Linked DNA regions of Drosophila melanogaster. Changing the gene in region 1 together with any one later gene gives a genetic interaction. Each region holds a gene or a part of one and is shown on either strand. Other genes may lie near its edges. The genes, in order: mGluR, CaMKII and gb.

Region 1 (4,758 bases):
TTTATGAAATTACAGTAGTTTTAATAATTTCTATTGTACTTCCTTTAATTAATTAGTATATTTATTAAGTCATTTGACTTAAAGTGATGTAACATTAGCATTAAAAGTGTTTCAAAAAAAATATTTCGCTTTTAAAAAATTGTCAGATGAGAGACAAATTAGAATTAAACGTAACAAATTTTAACAAACAAATTTAAAAACTTTAAAATTATAATAGTCAGGACGCGAATTTTTAAAAAAATTTTTATTTTATCATATTGCTACGAAATTGGCAAAAACTACCCTAATATGTACAATGTAAATTCGTTTCTTCGATCAGAATTGATTTCGGTCCGAAAATCGTCTTCTAGCACAACGCGCACACATATACGCGTTCTCGTCTCTTGTTTTTACTCACACAAGCAAGCAAACTCCGCGGGAGTGAGCGGAAAGAGAGTAATTTTGGCCGTCACCAAAAAAGTGGCTGCATAGTGCCAAACCAATGTATGGCCGTTACGCATCTTGTTATTCTAGTGTCTTTGCCTAGACTGTAAAGGTCCTTGCTAAAAACTTAAAAAATTTATGCATTTCTTATTAGTTTAATATTTATGTAATAAGCATTACAGGTTTGGCAGGCTTGTGGGTGCTAGAGGGGCGTGGCCAACATCTAATTGGTACACCGATATAAATTTGGAAAACATAAAATTTTTTCAGATAATTAGAAACATGTCTCAATTGTGTGGACGGAATGGGCGCGTGAACAAATTTTTTGCCAAATTGAACAAGACATACAATGAACAATATTACATCAGTGGGCTTTAAAGTGGGCATGGGCGTTTTATTTGACTCGGCTATATAAGTATAAATACATAATATGGTCGAAATTTTTTTCCCCACCTGTTACATACCTTTCAACATATCTAGTATACACTTATCACCTACGTTATCGAGTATATAAATATGTTAATTTTCTTAAAAGAGAATGTGTTTTCCTATATGTATGTGCTGACGTACCTCATCTGGATAATTGTTTTATATTTTGAGGATGGTATATAACTTTCTTAATTTAAGATCTGGAATATATCGATAGTTCAAATTTCTGTAGTTATTATCAATAATATAATATATAAATATGTATGTATCTATATACAAGTATATATACATATGTATAGTATAGTATATATACATAAGGCAAATACAGATGATTAAACGCCGCAAAGATGACGCAAATTTAATTGTTTTAATTATTTGTTAATTTTAGTAAATCGAACTAAGTAAAAAAACAAGATGTGGAAAAGTACATTTCTATTTGACGAATTTAGAGCTACAACATTTTTACTGAAATTCGAGCTCCAGAAAAAACTGTTGTGCTTATTGCAACATCCCTAGGAAAAGTCCATTAGTGTGCCCGTGTAAAACGAACACAATGAGTATAGTGAAAAACCATTGTTAGACAGGTGGTAAGGAGTAAGACTACACAGCTCTCTTAAAAACCGTTATTAAATTTTCATGAGAGAGCATTAATGCTTTTTTCTCTTTGGTATGCTGCCGTAATGGTGCTTTCTCTCTCAAATTCCGTGAGAGATGGACAGTTAGAAGGATTGTTGTAGATTGTTGCTAGTATTGTTGTTCTTTTACTTGGCCACTGCTGCTGGTACCCATTTCTTGGTTGTTGTTGTGCTGCTGCTGCCTCTACAAGAACTGATTTCGTGTTAGCTTATCATGGATAAATCAGTCAACCAACTGGTAATGGTAGGACAAGACGTGCGCGTATTAGTTAAATATAAAAAAGGTTTTAAGAAATGTTGCGATAAAGTTGTATAAGAATTTAAATAAGAAAAAAGGTAATTTAATTGTGAACATTATAAATAATTTTTCTAAAGAAAAGAGTTGTGAATAGTGATAAAATTTATTAATTATTGCACATTTTAAAGTTGTTCAATGTTCATCATAAAACAAGGAATCTCGTTGACAAAAATAAACACAATTAAAAAAGTTGCACTTTTCCACACGTACATAAGATAGTTGCACATGAAACCTACTGTAAAGGACTCAATATTTTACAATAACTTTGTACATATATGAAAATAACTGCAGATAAGTATGAGTGCCCTTTTTTAGGGCTTTCGCTAACACATTGCTTTTGCAGCTTCAGAGCAACGCCATCATCAGTACCATTCTTTTTGGTACTTGGCTTGTCCTTACATTCCAAAGCTTTTGCTGTTACGTGTTAATAGTGCTTTTACCACAGGCAAGAACCACTAAATTATATAGAAAACCAAGTATTATGAAAATGCTTGGTGTTCTGACAATCCCACACCTGTTGGAAGTGCCCAACAATTTTGGCTATAAATAATGTTTTACCTGGTGTGCTAAGTAAATACTCATTTTTTGTTTTAATACCAGTGCAGAGAGTATATTTATATCAATCTTAATATTTTTAGTTTTAGAAAAAATTGGGCATGGATTTAAAAACGAGCCTACGTGATTTAATTGTTTTTATTTTCAAAATGTATCGGTATGCCAAAAATATTATTATAGCTTTCTCCCTACTTATACCCGTTACTCGTAGTGTGTTCGTTAAAAAGTATGTACCAAGAGAGGGTAGCGTTTTCGACCATATAAAGTATATATATTCTTGATCAGGATCAATAACCAACCCGTCATGTCCTTCTGTCCGACCGAATAAACGTCGAGATCTAAGAAACTATTAAAGATTACAGATACTAGGGACAAAGACGCCTACCACCCCTACACTTTTGGAAAATGTTTTGATTTTTCTTCGTTTTATTGTTTGTCTTGCCAATTTCACCGGTATACGCCCAAAACTGTCACGCGCAAACTGTTGAACAATTTTTTAGTTTTTTCTCATTTTATTTTCCAATATCTATCGATATACCAGAAAATTTATGAATTTTCTAGTTCGCGTTTCCACCAGTTGAGTAACGGATATCTGATAGTCGGGGAACTCGACTATCTCTTATTTTATATTATTATTTGTTTAGCTTAAAAACGCCCACACTCATTTTTGAAAAATTGTTGTTTTTATTTCGTTAAGAGATTTGTCTTTTATGATTTCTATCGACAGGGCAAAAATGGTTGAAATTTCTCCATCGCACTCCAGCAAGTTGAGAAACGGCTATCTGACAGTCGATGAACTCGACTATTTCATTAACTCTTGTTTCTGTTTAAATATAATAAGCTTGTAATATATTTTTAATTATAGAATTTTTTCGGTTCCCATAGACAAGCATCAACCAAGGACATGCAAAAACATGAACCTGAATTTCACGTTGCGGGCCTAATACATTGTTAACTTAAATCATCCACGTGTCTTTAAAAAGATGAAACAGAAAAATAATAACGGAACAATTTTAGTCGTCGTGATGGTTTTATCCTGGAGTCGAGTAGTAGACTTAAAAAGTCCTAGTAACACACATACTCAGGATTCAGTGTCTGTTTCTCTGCCTGGCGACATTATACTTGGTGGGCTATTTCCGGTCCATGAAAAAGGTGAAGGTGCCCCTTGCGGACCAAAAGTATATAATAGGGGAGTTCAACGCCTGGAAGCAATGCTGTATGCTATAGATCGTGTAAACAATGACCCCAACATACTTCCTGGAATTACGATAGGAGTCCATATACTTGACACCTGTTCAAGAGACACATATGCCCTCAATCAGTCGCTTCAATTTGTCAGAGCATCCCTAAACAATTTAGACACATCAGGATATGAGTGTGCAGATGGGTCAAGCCCGCAACTAAGAAAAAATGCTTCGTCAGGCCCAGTTTTTGGAGTTATTGGCGGGTCCTACAGTTCAGTGTCCTTGCAAGTGGCCAATTTGCTGCGTCTGTTTCATATTCCTCAAGTATCACCGGCCTCAACCGCTAAAACGCTTTCGGACAAAACACGCTTTGATCTGTTTGCTCGAACAGTACCTCCAGACACTTTCCAATCCGTAGCCCTCGTGGACATACTAAAAAACTTTAACTGGTCATACGTATCAACGATACATTCGGAAGGATCTTATGGTGAGTCTTAATCAATGTTCTGAAAGCAGAAAATTGTATACCCTTTCGGTAATTATTTATCATAATTAAATAAAAAATCAAGAGAGAATGCCCTGACTATTAGATACCTGTTACTTAGCTAGTAAAAGTGCGAAAGAGAAATTTCAACATTTTCTGAAATACCGGTAGAACTTAGTAACAGAAGTTTAAAATTAAAAACAATTAACAATTGAAATGTATTGTACGGTTTGTTGGCGTTTGAGGAATAGAAAAATGTTTTTAAATATAGAAATTTACAATAAAAGTCTATATATAAAATATAAAAACGTTTTTTAAAAGTTTAAGCGTGGAATTTTTGGCTTGTGGGCGTTAGAGTGAGCAACATCGGGAAACAATCTTGCGCCTCGTCTATGTCATGCATGCTCAATCTTAATTGTCTAGCTTTTATACTTCCTTAGATTGAGGCGTTTATACGGACAGACGGGCATTCAAACCGAATTTTATGATAACAAATATCGAATTCTGATTTTTATTAACGTAAAGTATATATATTCTTAATAAGGGCCAATAGCCGAGTCGATCTGCCCCTGTCCGTCCGTCTGTCTGTTCGTCCAGTATGTCCCGTATGAACGTCCAGATTTCAGGAACTATGAAAGCTAAAAGGCTGAGATGATGCATGCTGATTCTAGAGCCCACTCTTACGCCCACTTCTGAAAAATGTATTGAAACTTCTTCGTGTTATTGTTTGTCTTGACATTTTCTATTTGT
Region 2 (5,041 bases), 110 kb from region 1:
TGATACAATTCTGGGTCAACACAGATTCTAATATATACATGAGTATACACATATACATATATTTGATATATGTATGGTCTCTTACTGTGTATATGCCAACTAATATTAAATACTTTTTTCGCGCGTATAACGATTGCATATTGTAAAGTTAATATATATATTCACACGCTTCACTTATATCTTAAAAGGACATTTATACAACATCAGTATGTACCCCATTTTGTGCCTTTGTTCAGTTACGCAGTAAATATAAATATATGACACTTAAAAATTTTGTAATTGTTATTGCACAATATACATACATCTTACAAATTACTCTTGATATCTACAAGAAAGTTTAAAACATACCTAAATACTTACGAGTTATGATAAATGCTTTTTTTTTAATTTTAAAAAAGTGTTTCACATTCTATATATCGTCCCTCCTAGTCCGAAAAATGGGTTTAGTAAAACATTTCTGAAGGTCTCATCCAAATAGTATATTTAATTCGCGTACATAGCGCGTGTTTATATGATTTAATGAAAAAGTATAATTTGCAACAAGTAATTTCCAAGACCCTGAAATATCCTTGCTAAAAGGGGTGGGGCGTTTTACCATTAAGCTCATCAAAAAAAGCTTCAACGCATGTAACCTGCAAAGGATACATACCTACATATATATGTACGTATATATATAACTGCTTCCCAGATACATTCTCATAATCAGGATTTTCTTTTTTAAGAAATTAACCAAAAACACCTGTCGCTTTTTTTAATTGATTGAAATATGTCAATGAGAGTTAAATATATCTGGTTTAAAACAAAGATAATAAAGTTTTGATCACAAATTTTAAACTTTTCGTAACATTTGACTTGACAATATTATATTATAAGTATGTTATTTCAAAATTGCGAGGGTGCAATTAAGGGTCTACATATACCTTTTCCAGGGAAACACTTCTTTTTCATGGTGATTGGGTCTAGTTTTAAAAAAACACGTACAACAAACTAAAAACTAACAGTACCGCTGTTACCGGATATGGCAAAAAACAAACCTCACGGAGAGGTATAAAACAAGAGAGAACGTGACAGTAGTTCATCGACTATTTAACAACCCGACAGAAATGTGCAAAATAAAAGAATAAATAAAAATAATGAAACAAAAAAACAAAACACTTTGTAAATGTGTGGGCAAAATCGAAATAAAAGATTTCAAGACTGAAAGAAGCAAATTATTTTTCAAAAAAATTGGAGTTACAGTTTTAGGCGGATTAAATGTCTGGTTCTCAAGAAAACAAATTTGCATGCTTTATCCCATGCCTGTCGTCCGTATCAACGCTGTTACCGCTGAAACTATAATAACTGGAAAGTAAAACGAAAAAATAATTTCCATTTTTTATTCCTTTACTCAATACGTAATATAGGTTAATAGTAATGATTGTTGCTGCTCTTGATCAGCTGGCTATCACACTAGCTTCGTTGAAAAGTATGTAACTTGCAGAACGACGCGTTTCCGAGCGTTTAAACTATATATAGTCTTCACCAGGATCAATAGCCGAGTCGAATTTTCATGTCCGTCTATCTGTATGAACTCCACGATCTCAGGAACTATAAAAGCTAGAAAGTTAAGATTGTGCCATGCCCTTTTTAAGTTTTCGTTTATTTTTTTTCAAAAAATTGTTGAAATTGTTTTGCCAATTTTAATCGGTACGCCAGAAAAATGTTTAATATTCTCGTTCATACTTCCACTAGCTGAGTAACAATTATCTGATAGTCGAAAAGCTTTACTATAGCGTTTTCTCTTGTTTTAATTCTGCAATGGATTCGTATTTTTTCAGGGCCATAGTTTAATTTGATATTGAAAACGCCACTGAGTGGTTGATATGCATATCGATGTAAGGCCCGTTTACACTGCACTAACCGCGGAGTTATGGTTTTACATATGTAGATACCTTTGCTATTTTGATGTGCATGGGGAACAGTTAAGTGTAGCTTTGGTAAGGAGTTGACCCCTATGTTTAATAATCGAGTTTATTACATTTTTCGTCTATCGAATGTCATGTCATCTCTAGGCAACAACAAGGTATCAGATTCAACGTTTGAGATAGGATAATACATTTTCAGACATTTTTCAATTTGTGCCCCCGCACATGTTGTTTCTTGCGAAGTATGGTGTTTTTTCGTATGATTTCATGATCACATGAAAAAACTTCAACCACCAAAATCTTCAAAATGGAGGTCGAGTTTTCTAGTTTAAGCAACGTGCTTTAAGAGAACTCACTTGAATTACCAACTCAATAAGAAACCTGCGGCTGTTTAAAATAACATAACCCTTATATTATTACAAACCATTTAAAATTTGAAGAACTATATGTAGATTGCTGGTCTGTTTTGCATCGACTCCACTGAGTAATATAGAATTTTAAAATTGGAATAGCGAGACATTCTTTTAATTTTACCGATATGTGTTTCTATGAAATAAGTTACCTAATCTGTGCTCTGAATACTTCTGAATTACATTGGCGAGCTTTACTTTACGAGCTTCATGCCCGATCTTATACAGAGAAGAATGCAAGTTTATACTATGATGGCCGGGGGATTCTCAAATACATGCAGTACCCCTTTGGATACCATAGAACCAACGCTGTCTGAAACTTTTGAACCAGCTAGTGATTACTTTATAACAAAATAATATTTAGAGAAGGCCCATGGTACCTAAATGGTACAACAATGTATGTATGTTTGTACGTTGTAAGCAATTTTTTGTATAATTTTTGTAAAACTGATTTATTATCTTATATTTAAAAATCGTTTAGAAAACAAGAAATAAAACTCCTGAAAAGTGAAATCTGTAGAGCAGTTGAAGATCTTTAGTCGCAATAGATTTTCTTAAGTGTGCCATCGCGATGGCTGCACCAGCAGCCTGTACGCGTTTTTCGGACAATTACGACATCAAAGAAGAGTTGGGAAAGTAAGTTTAACAAACTCAAGGTTAATAAATTTATTATAATAACCCGTCTATTAACATTTCAGAGGAGCATTCTCAATTGTGAAAAGATGTGTCCAAAAGTCAACTGGCTTTGAATTTGCTGCAAAAATTATCAATACAAAAAAATTAACTGCCAGAGGTAAGGCTTTCTGTGTTCTATGTAGGTTATAAATCACATATGTACGCATTTATGCTATGCACACGCATGTAGGGAAACTAAGTGCTGTTTTTAGGTAATTCGTCGAGTACAGTAAAAGGGTATACTAGATCCTTGATCCTTGGAAAGTATGTATATTCTTGATCAGGATCAATAGCCGAGTCCGTCTCTCCGTATGGTCGTCGAGATCTCAGAAACTATACAAGCTAGAAGGCATACAGATTTTAGAAACAAATACGCAGCGCAAGTTTGTTGACCCATGTTGCCACATGCGCCACGCCCTCACTTTTGAAAAATGTGTTGATATTTTTTCACATTTGTATTGGTCTTGTAAATTTCTATCGATTTGCTCAAAAAAAAGTTTGCCACGCCCATTCTAACGCCCTTTAACTTCTATCGATTTGCTTAAAAGCCGCCAACCGGTCACGTCCACACTTTGGACCAATTTTTAAACTTTTTTCTTATTTTATTCCCCAATATCTATCGTTATCCTAGAAAAATGATGAAATTTCGCGTTCCCATTCACACTAGCTGAGTAACTGGTATCTGATGCCGTTTTTTCAACGGCGATATGGCATATCGTAAGAAATCAGTAGTAAACATTGACTGTCAAAAAGTTTTCCTGTAAAATGTACTTTCTTTTTGCTAAGTACGCTTTTGGAAGGGACCATTCTTTTTGTGTAATATCTTCGTCGTCCCTATCTATTTGCCACACAAGTATCAAATAGTTCTACAGTAATTAAGTTGTATTTCTTGGTGTTGTGCTATTTAGTAATTAATAAATTTTTACTGCCAAGACGTGGCCAAAATAATTTTGGAATAGCAGTATTGGCAAAGTGTGTAATTTACAAAAAATATATTAAATAACTTTTAAGAAGTTTGAGCATGACAGCTGGGACAAATTTTGGGCTTAGAGAGAACCATTTGCTTGCTCGCCAAAAACCTCTTATTAACATATTTGTACACATGCATGTATGCATATAAGAGATGCTTATAATATATATATATATATATTTTTTTTTTTTGCTTTTAGACTTTCAAAAACTGGAACGTGAAGCAAGGATCTGCAGAAAGTTACACCATCCCAACATAGGTATGCAACGTGTATATAAATATAATTTACTTACTTATTCTTTAAAGATACGTTTTTCTGAAGATGTATGATCTACATAAAAGTAGACGAACATGGCCTAATATCACTTTGAACATCTACTATACATAATTTTTATATGTACATTCAATCACGGCTTAGACCCCAGTAGTGTTGATGACTTGCAATGTGATCCTGATAAAGGATGGTTTGACGTCCACGGTAACACAACGAAGAAAAAAATAAAATAGAGTTTAGTAGATATATCAATCCGCATCTGCAAGCAACATTCCATTCCTCGCCCTCCCTACTCTCCAATAACAAATCTTCCAAGTAATTTATAATTATAATAATTATAAAAACTTGCAGAACAGCAAAAACCGAACTCATGCAATAGACTTTCCTCTCACTAAAAGCGTAACCTAACAAAACAGTTATTTACACGGACAGTTCAAATCTAGAAACATCACTTCCTCCAGCGTCACCGACAAAATATATAATATGTTCAAAATGTATTTTATAAACATATATTTTTATAGCCTTTAAGGCTTATAATCATTGTCATCCGTAAAAAAAAAACATTAAATACAAATGTATACAACTAATAAATTGTTAATATGTACAATTTCAGTGCGGCTACATGACAGTATACAGGAGGAGAACTATCACTACCTTGTTTTTGACCTGTAAGCATTAACCTGCATAGACTCCTTACCAAATATTTAAATTGCCTATCCCCAAAAGTGTTTTAAAAATATGAGTTTCTAACAAATGCTTGTAAATGTGGCAATGACTCGACTATTGTTTATTGAGATTCATACTTCAT
Region 3 (6,328 bases), on another chromosome or scaffold:
GTTAGGTTTTCGTCTCTTGACATCTGCGGGCGGGAATTGCCGCCCGCCCTGTGATCTCTGAACATCCGATGAAGGAGTCTGTCGCGTCTTTGCAGCTGCCGGAATTTTTCGGCGATCCAAGGTTGAGATGCTTGACTGATCCCTAGGTGGAAACTCCCTTACAGTTCCCTTTAGGGAAGTAGCTGCATAGGGGTTCTTGGATGGGACATCCCTGCTAGAGCTGGAGCTCGGTTTTCCAACCGCCGATGCAGTTGCGCCAGGTCTGGCAGTCAATTGAGCTGATTTAGTAGCGGGCCTTGAGCTCGAGACAGAACTGCGACTGGCGGAGGAATGGGAATTGGAACTGGATAAACTGGTGGAGCTCGCGCTGCTTTTCGTTGGCTGTGGGGCAGTTGGTTTTTTAAAACTATCACTTGGTGCATTGGCTGGCTTGGCTTGATTAAGCTTGGGGATGCGTCCGTTAGGCTCCATGCGATTGGGGATGGATTTCGGAGTCTCCTTGCCTTCACTTTCGCGCATCTTGAGACGCTGGGCGCGCTGCTCCTGTTGCCGCTGGCGCTCTTCCAACTCGCGTTTCTCACGGGCCGACAACAAACGCTCTGGTTCCTTTTTTTTCTCCACCTCAAAAACCACGGGCTCGTGCTGTTTCTTTTCAGCTAAGCGAAGCAAGGCTTGGAAGTCCATGGGCGGCGGCTGAGCAGGTCGTTTTATCTTCGCCCGGCGCTGCTCCTCCTCCTGCCGCTTTTTGCGCTCCTCCTCGAGCTTCTCTGCGTTCGGATCATAAAGAGTCTTGGAGGTACTGTAAGAACGGGCCACGGAGGACTCCTTCGACTTGGTAGCGCTGGATGGGAGTGTGCTTGTGCTGCTTTTCTGACGTGTGTTACCCTTGGCCTCCTCTCGTTCCCTGGTAATGGCCGCCTTCACGCGCTCCTTGGTCCCAGAGAGATCTTTTAGCGACTGTGGCCTGCTGGGCGTGAATCCCTTGTCTTCCTGTACATCGCGTACCTTTTCAATGTACTTATCGTAAAAGGCATTCGCTTCAGTGGACACGTAGCCGTAGTCATCGCCCTGACCCTCGCCCGCCTCGTGGCCGTCGATGGCCCCCTCGTAGTCTTTGGCATCCTCCAGCACTGATTTGTTGGCCGATTTGGTTACCTTTAGCATTTTACGTATCTTGTTCTTGGACTTTTCGTCTCTTTTGGCGAGCAGATCGTTGAGTTTCTGGCGCTCCAGCCGTTTCTTTTCCGCCTCCTCGGCCTCCTTCTTTTGGAGAAACTTCTGGATGTTGCTGGACAGCTGCTTGGACTCCTTGGACTGCTTCTTGGGGGGCGAATACTTGGTGCTGTAGTATTTCCCCTGCCCCTGGCGATAGAGGAGAAAAATTACAATGATCAGATCGAATATAAATTATTTTGGGTCACAAAGGGAATGCAGGCGCAACCGCGTTTTCCAAGCATAAAATCTCACGCGATGGACGAACTGGACATCTGCATGATACCCACCACCTCCTTGGTGACCGCATCACTATTTTTTTTCGCGTAGCGCAGCAGGTCCCCAAAATCCATTTTGTGATCTGTATTTCTCTGTCGATTTGCTTTTAGCTCATCTATTTGGATACTGATATCGATTGGCGATAGGCGATAGACGTGGTCTACTTTTCGTTTCGATAAGAAATCAGAGGAGAGCACGTGAGAGCACGTACGCTCACGCAGTAATTGTATATTAATTCTCGTTAATATTTCAATATATGGAATGTATAAAATTCAGTTTTCAATTTCATTTTACCCTTATGTACGGGACCGACAGCGGGAAAGTCGGCGGGGCCATATTGTATATATATTATTTTTGAATAAAAAATTGCACCCTGTAGCTCGCAAGAAAAACACCCCAGCATCAATTGATATTCTACAGTCAGCCGGGCGCTGGTCACACTGCTGCGATGCTCGAGAAAACGTGGGGTTGAAAAACCTTTGAGCAACGTTGTGCCAATTCCACAATTAAACCGCAGAGTTTGCACAATTTGGCGGTTACACCTCGATGTCTGCCCTTATTTACCAGACCCATTAACCGAATTCCGCGAGACAGAGTGTGAATTGTTCTTTTAAATCGCGAGTTTTATGTGCGATAGACTCAACTGCAGGGTGTGTTGCTGGTGCGAGCGAGACGGCAGCTAGCGAAGAGCCGACCAAAACAAACTAACGCTAGCCGGCGGAAAAGGAAGAAGAGGAAGAGCAGGAGTAGATAAGCCAAATACAATACAATTGAAAAACACATTAAGAAATATACACACACGCACATATGTACACGGAGTCACACCCACGAACACACTTGCCTCGTTTAATCAATTAACGGGACAACGGCCAAAGAAACAGTTACAGTTCGCTTTCAGACGTCGCGTGCGAAGATTGTGTCACAGAGCAGCGGGATAATAATACCATAGCCCTAGGACATAATACGTACATATATAGCCGCCATGCCCGCCGCCGATGAACTGCAGTCGCCGTCCAGCGAAATGGTCCTGCTGACCCCCAGCTCCGGCAATCCTCCCTCCAGCATTGCCCAACCAGCGGCTAATCCTGCCGAGAAAGCTCAGTGTCGCGAGGGATCCGCCGAGTCAGACAGCAGCAGGGTTGTGATCAAGAAGCAGCTGGGCCTCCTCGAAGGAGTGGCCATCATCCTGGGCATCATCTTCGGATCCGGTATCTTTGTTTCTCCGAAAGGCGTCATCCGGGAGGTGGAGTCCGTGGGCGCTTCGCTGGTCATCTGGGTTCTCTGCGGACTGCTGTCCATGATTGGTGCTCTTTGCTACGCGGAACTTGGTACTGCCATACCAAAATCTGGGGGGGATTACGCGTATATCTTCGAGGCCTACGGATCACTGCCGGCTTTCCTGTATCTCTGGGATGCCATGATGATATTCGTGTGAGTCTTACTGGTCAATATTGTTTTAATATTCGCGAATATTTCGCCGTTAAAGTTCCCTTATCACAGTTGGTTCGAAAAACATAAATACAGTATCAAATTCCTTTCGGTAATTGATTTCGAATTACTTTATTATCGCCAGAAGGAACCCATTAGAGTAAAAGTAATAGCTGACATTTTTTTTTCTTTTTTGCGTTTTTACGTTTTTTTTAACGAAATAACATATGTATGTAGATTGAATGAAGTGAAGTAGTCCTACAGAATCTGATTTTTAGACTGGGTCAAGTTTAATAACTTCTCAGATAAGACTAGAAGAATGGAATACTTCGGATTGGTGTGGATGCATCCGGTTTTTCAAGGTTAAGCCATGGGTTGTGTATTAGAGCATTAGAAAGTGAAACGAGCCTTATCATTTAATCTGCGCTATATAAGTTTATTTATTGAACAGTTCCGCGAGTTCTGCATTGAGCGTTTTATTGCCTGCTATATTTGTTGTTTAGGATCGGCGATAAGCGAAAATATCTGCTTTTCTACTTTTGCATGCGGACATTATCAGCAGGACATATGTCTGAATGCAGTCTGCAAAAAAATTTCCACTGATTGTGTGCTCTTATCTCTGACAGACCAACGACCAATGCCATTATGGGCCTGACCTTTGCCTCCTACGTGCTGGAACCCTTCTTCGGCGGAGCCTGTGAGATTCCCAAAATAGCGTTACAGCTCCTGGCAGCCATCACCATCTGCTTCCTAACCTACCTGAATTCGTACTACATGAAGGTGACCACCAAGATGCAAAACGTCATCATGTTCACCAAGATCGCCGCCCTGGTCTTGATCATCCTGGTAGGCCTGGTCTGGATGATGATGGGCAACGTGGAGAACTTCACGAGACCCTTTGATAACACTGAGACTGATCCCGGCAAGATGTCGGTAGCCTTTTACTCCGGTATCTTTTCCTATGCCGGATGGAATTACTTGAACTTCATGACGGAGGAGCTCCGCGATCCATATCGCAACCTGCCGCGCGCCATTTACATCTCCCTACCTCTGGTCACCGGCATTTATGTGCTGGCCAATGTGGCTTATCTGGCCGTGCTGTCGCCCTCGGAGATGATCGCATCCAATGCCATCGCTGTGGTAAGAGTTTATCCACGATTTGCAGTCCGATCAGATTAGGCAGTCAAATTACTAATTTACTTAAAAGCTTAAAATCTGTTAGTTATCAAGCATAATGCAAGCCCTATAATGTCCGACTTTGTCTATTTGTAGCTTAAATTCGCAAAATTGCGATAGACTGCTGGGAATTTTAATTTATTTGATCGGAATCGCAAAAGTCAATTAAACCAGTGGATTTTCAAATGATTTTAATTGATCACTTCTCTTCACAGACCTTTGGCGATAAGATTCTCGGCGTGTTTTCACTGATCATACCCCTCATGGTGGCCATATCTGCTTTTGGCGGCCTTTCCGTCCACATCATGACCTCCTCCCGCATCTGCTTCGTGGGTGCCCGCAATGGACACATGCCGGCGATTCTGTCGCACATCAGCGTAAAGAGCTACACCCCACTGCCGTCGCTCGTTTTTCTGGTGAGCTGCGCTCCTCAATTAGCGCACAAATGATATTATGTAATTAATCCCTAATTGATTTGACTGTGTCCCTCTCGGCAGTGCTTTCTCTCCATTGTGATGCTGGTGGTGAGCGATGTGTATGTGCTGATCACCTACGCCAGCATTGTGGAATCGTTCTTTATAATGTTGTCGGTGTCGGCGGTTCTATATTTCCGCTACACCCGTCCCTGCATGGAGCGGCCAATTAAAGTGAGTTTAGCGTAATCAGTATTGCCAATGTAGACGTTCTACAGCCAACGAAATCTTTGTACTGACAAAAATTTAAATACTTTGATTATGTCTTTGAGCCTAACAGTTTAGCAAGACTATTCTAACTATATTTGTTCCTGGCACAGGTCGCCATGTGGATTCCCGCCCTATTCGTCATCGTGTGCGCATTCTTAGTTGTCGTGCCCATCTATGTGGCGCCCTATGAGGTCGGAATGGGGGTATTAATCACCATAATTGGCATACCTTTCTACTACGTGGGCGTCGTGTGGAAGAATAAGCCGAAATGGGTGCAGAGCACGATTGGTGAGTAGCCCTTCACATTAACCCCAATGTGTGGCATTGTCCGACATTTATATGGTTTTCCTTTGTAGACTCGGTGACCTTCACTTGCCAGAAGCTCTTCATGTCCGCCAAAGAGGAGAAGGAGGACTAAACTGCCATCGAAATGAAATGGAATCATTTTTCAAAACGATCTAGCTATTTGGCCCTCCAAATAACTACCTATTAAATCTCTATATTGATGTGAAAGCTTGAGAACGAGAAAGCTTGGCTCGTTAAACCTGAATACCAAAAAACGAAAATACCTAAAAAAGCGGAAAACATGACCTGTACATCACAAGGACTGGAGAACGAAGTCAATACTATCATATTTCTATATTTATATTTATAAACCATGACAAAAACTTTTACCTAAAGTGCAAATTCTTCGAATAGTAGTTTAGTATTGAGTTCTAGTTTAGCATTTATTTTGCACTCATTAAATTCGAAATCTAAACCAAAGTAAGCCAAAACTGTTTGCCAAAGGTGCGATATTCAGGTCGATATTTGCCATATAAAGCAGTTTCATATAATCTTCTGTTGCTTATTGTTTAAAAATTCGGTTATTGTTTTTGTCCCTCATTTTACTACCTAAGTGCATTGCATTGCAGTTTGTAATAAAGATTTTTGTACGTTTCATCGACGAACCGCTTTGAATTCAATCTTTTAGGCGCCCCTCGCGAAAGTATGCCACAAGATTTTAGCGAATGATAAAGCAAAACAATTGATAAGGTTGAATTGATTGAGCATTGCGTGGGATGTAAGCCCATGCCTTCGCTAATCAATTAGGGCTGATAAGTAATGGGTCTATTTTAAGCCATTCTCGACGGACGACAAGTCGCGATTTTTGGCCAAAAATAAATCGCCTCCTGTCGCCCCCATTGACATTTTGGACACTCGGAGGCTTGTGGAATGACGCCAACTCTATATTCGATCACTGATAGAGTATTCCGTGCGGATCCATTCTACCGTCTAGGTGTTTTTAATTGATAAAACTGGTGCGCTTATCTGGGATTCTCAGCACGGTTTGCAGGTGCGCCCGTCTATGCGAAATCTGGGCGAGAGTAGTGGGCTGATTTGTATGCACCGTATTCGGCGTCTCGTTTAATGTCTTTTTAAGTATTTATATGCGAGGAGTGAGTATGTCTAGTTACCAGATCGCTCGTAAAATTGCCTCAATCGGATTTGATGTTTTTCATTATGGCCAAATAATTGAGTTATTGCGACTCGAGGAGCATCTCAAGTGC

Evidence for each region.
Region 2: of mGluR (region 1) and CaMKII, changing one suppresses a phenotype caused by changing the other (phenotypic suppression), as found in Drosophila melanogaster (one study listed by BioGRID).
Region 3: of mGluR (region 1) and gb, changing one suppresses a phenotype caused by changing the other (phenotypic suppression), as found in Drosophila melanogaster (one study listed by BioGRID).

Annotation. Positions count from the first base shown.
Region 1 is NC_004353.4:935,107-939,864, forward strand, and holds the start of mGluR (metabotropic glutamate receptor), read left to right. Parts: upstream 1-1,712; 5' UTR 1,713-1,823; intron 1,824-3,225; 5' UTR 3,226-3,323; coding exon 3,324-4,011; intron 4,012-4,758. UniProt on the Drosophila melanogaster protein: G-protein coupled receptor for glutamate. Ligand binding causes a conformation change that triggers signaling via guanine nucleotide-binding proteins (G proteins) and modulates the activity of down-stream effectors.
Region 2 is NC_004353.4:1,048,364-1,053,404, reverse strand, and holds the start of CaMKII (Calcium/calmodulin-dependent protein kinase II), read left to right. Parts: upstream 1-2,026; 5' UTR 2,027-2,062; exon of another isoform or gene 2,063-2,711; intron 2,712-2,795; 5' UTR 2,796-2,885; coding exon 2,886-2,950; intron 2,951-3,012; coding exon 3,013-3,107; intron 3,108-4,158; coding exon 4,159-4,218; intron 4,219-4,846; coding exon 4,847-4,901; intron 4,902-5,041. UniProt on the Drosophila melanogaster protein: A key regulator of plasticity in synaptic physiology and behavior, alterations in its activity produce pleiotrophic effects that involve synaptic transmission and development as well as various aspects of behavior. Directly modulates eag potassium channels.
Region 3 is NT_033777.3:27,107,865-27,114,192, reverse strand, and holds gb (genderblind), read left to right. Parts: upstream 1-1,922; 5' UTR 1,923-2,473; coding exon 2,474-2,922; intron 2,923-3,159; exon of another isoform or gene 3,160-3,545; coding exon 3,546-4,059; exon of another isoform or gene 4,060-4,310; coding exon 4,311-4,511; exon of another isoform or gene 4,512-4,592; coding exon 4,593-4,742; exon of another isoform or gene 4,743-4,864; intron 4,865-4,888; coding exon 4,889-5,066; intron 5,067-5,134; coding exon 5,135-5,196; 3' UTR 5,197-5,726; downstream 5,727-6,328. Other genes in the region: CG5815 (uncharacterized protein), read right to left, coding at 1-1,362, 1,503-1,565.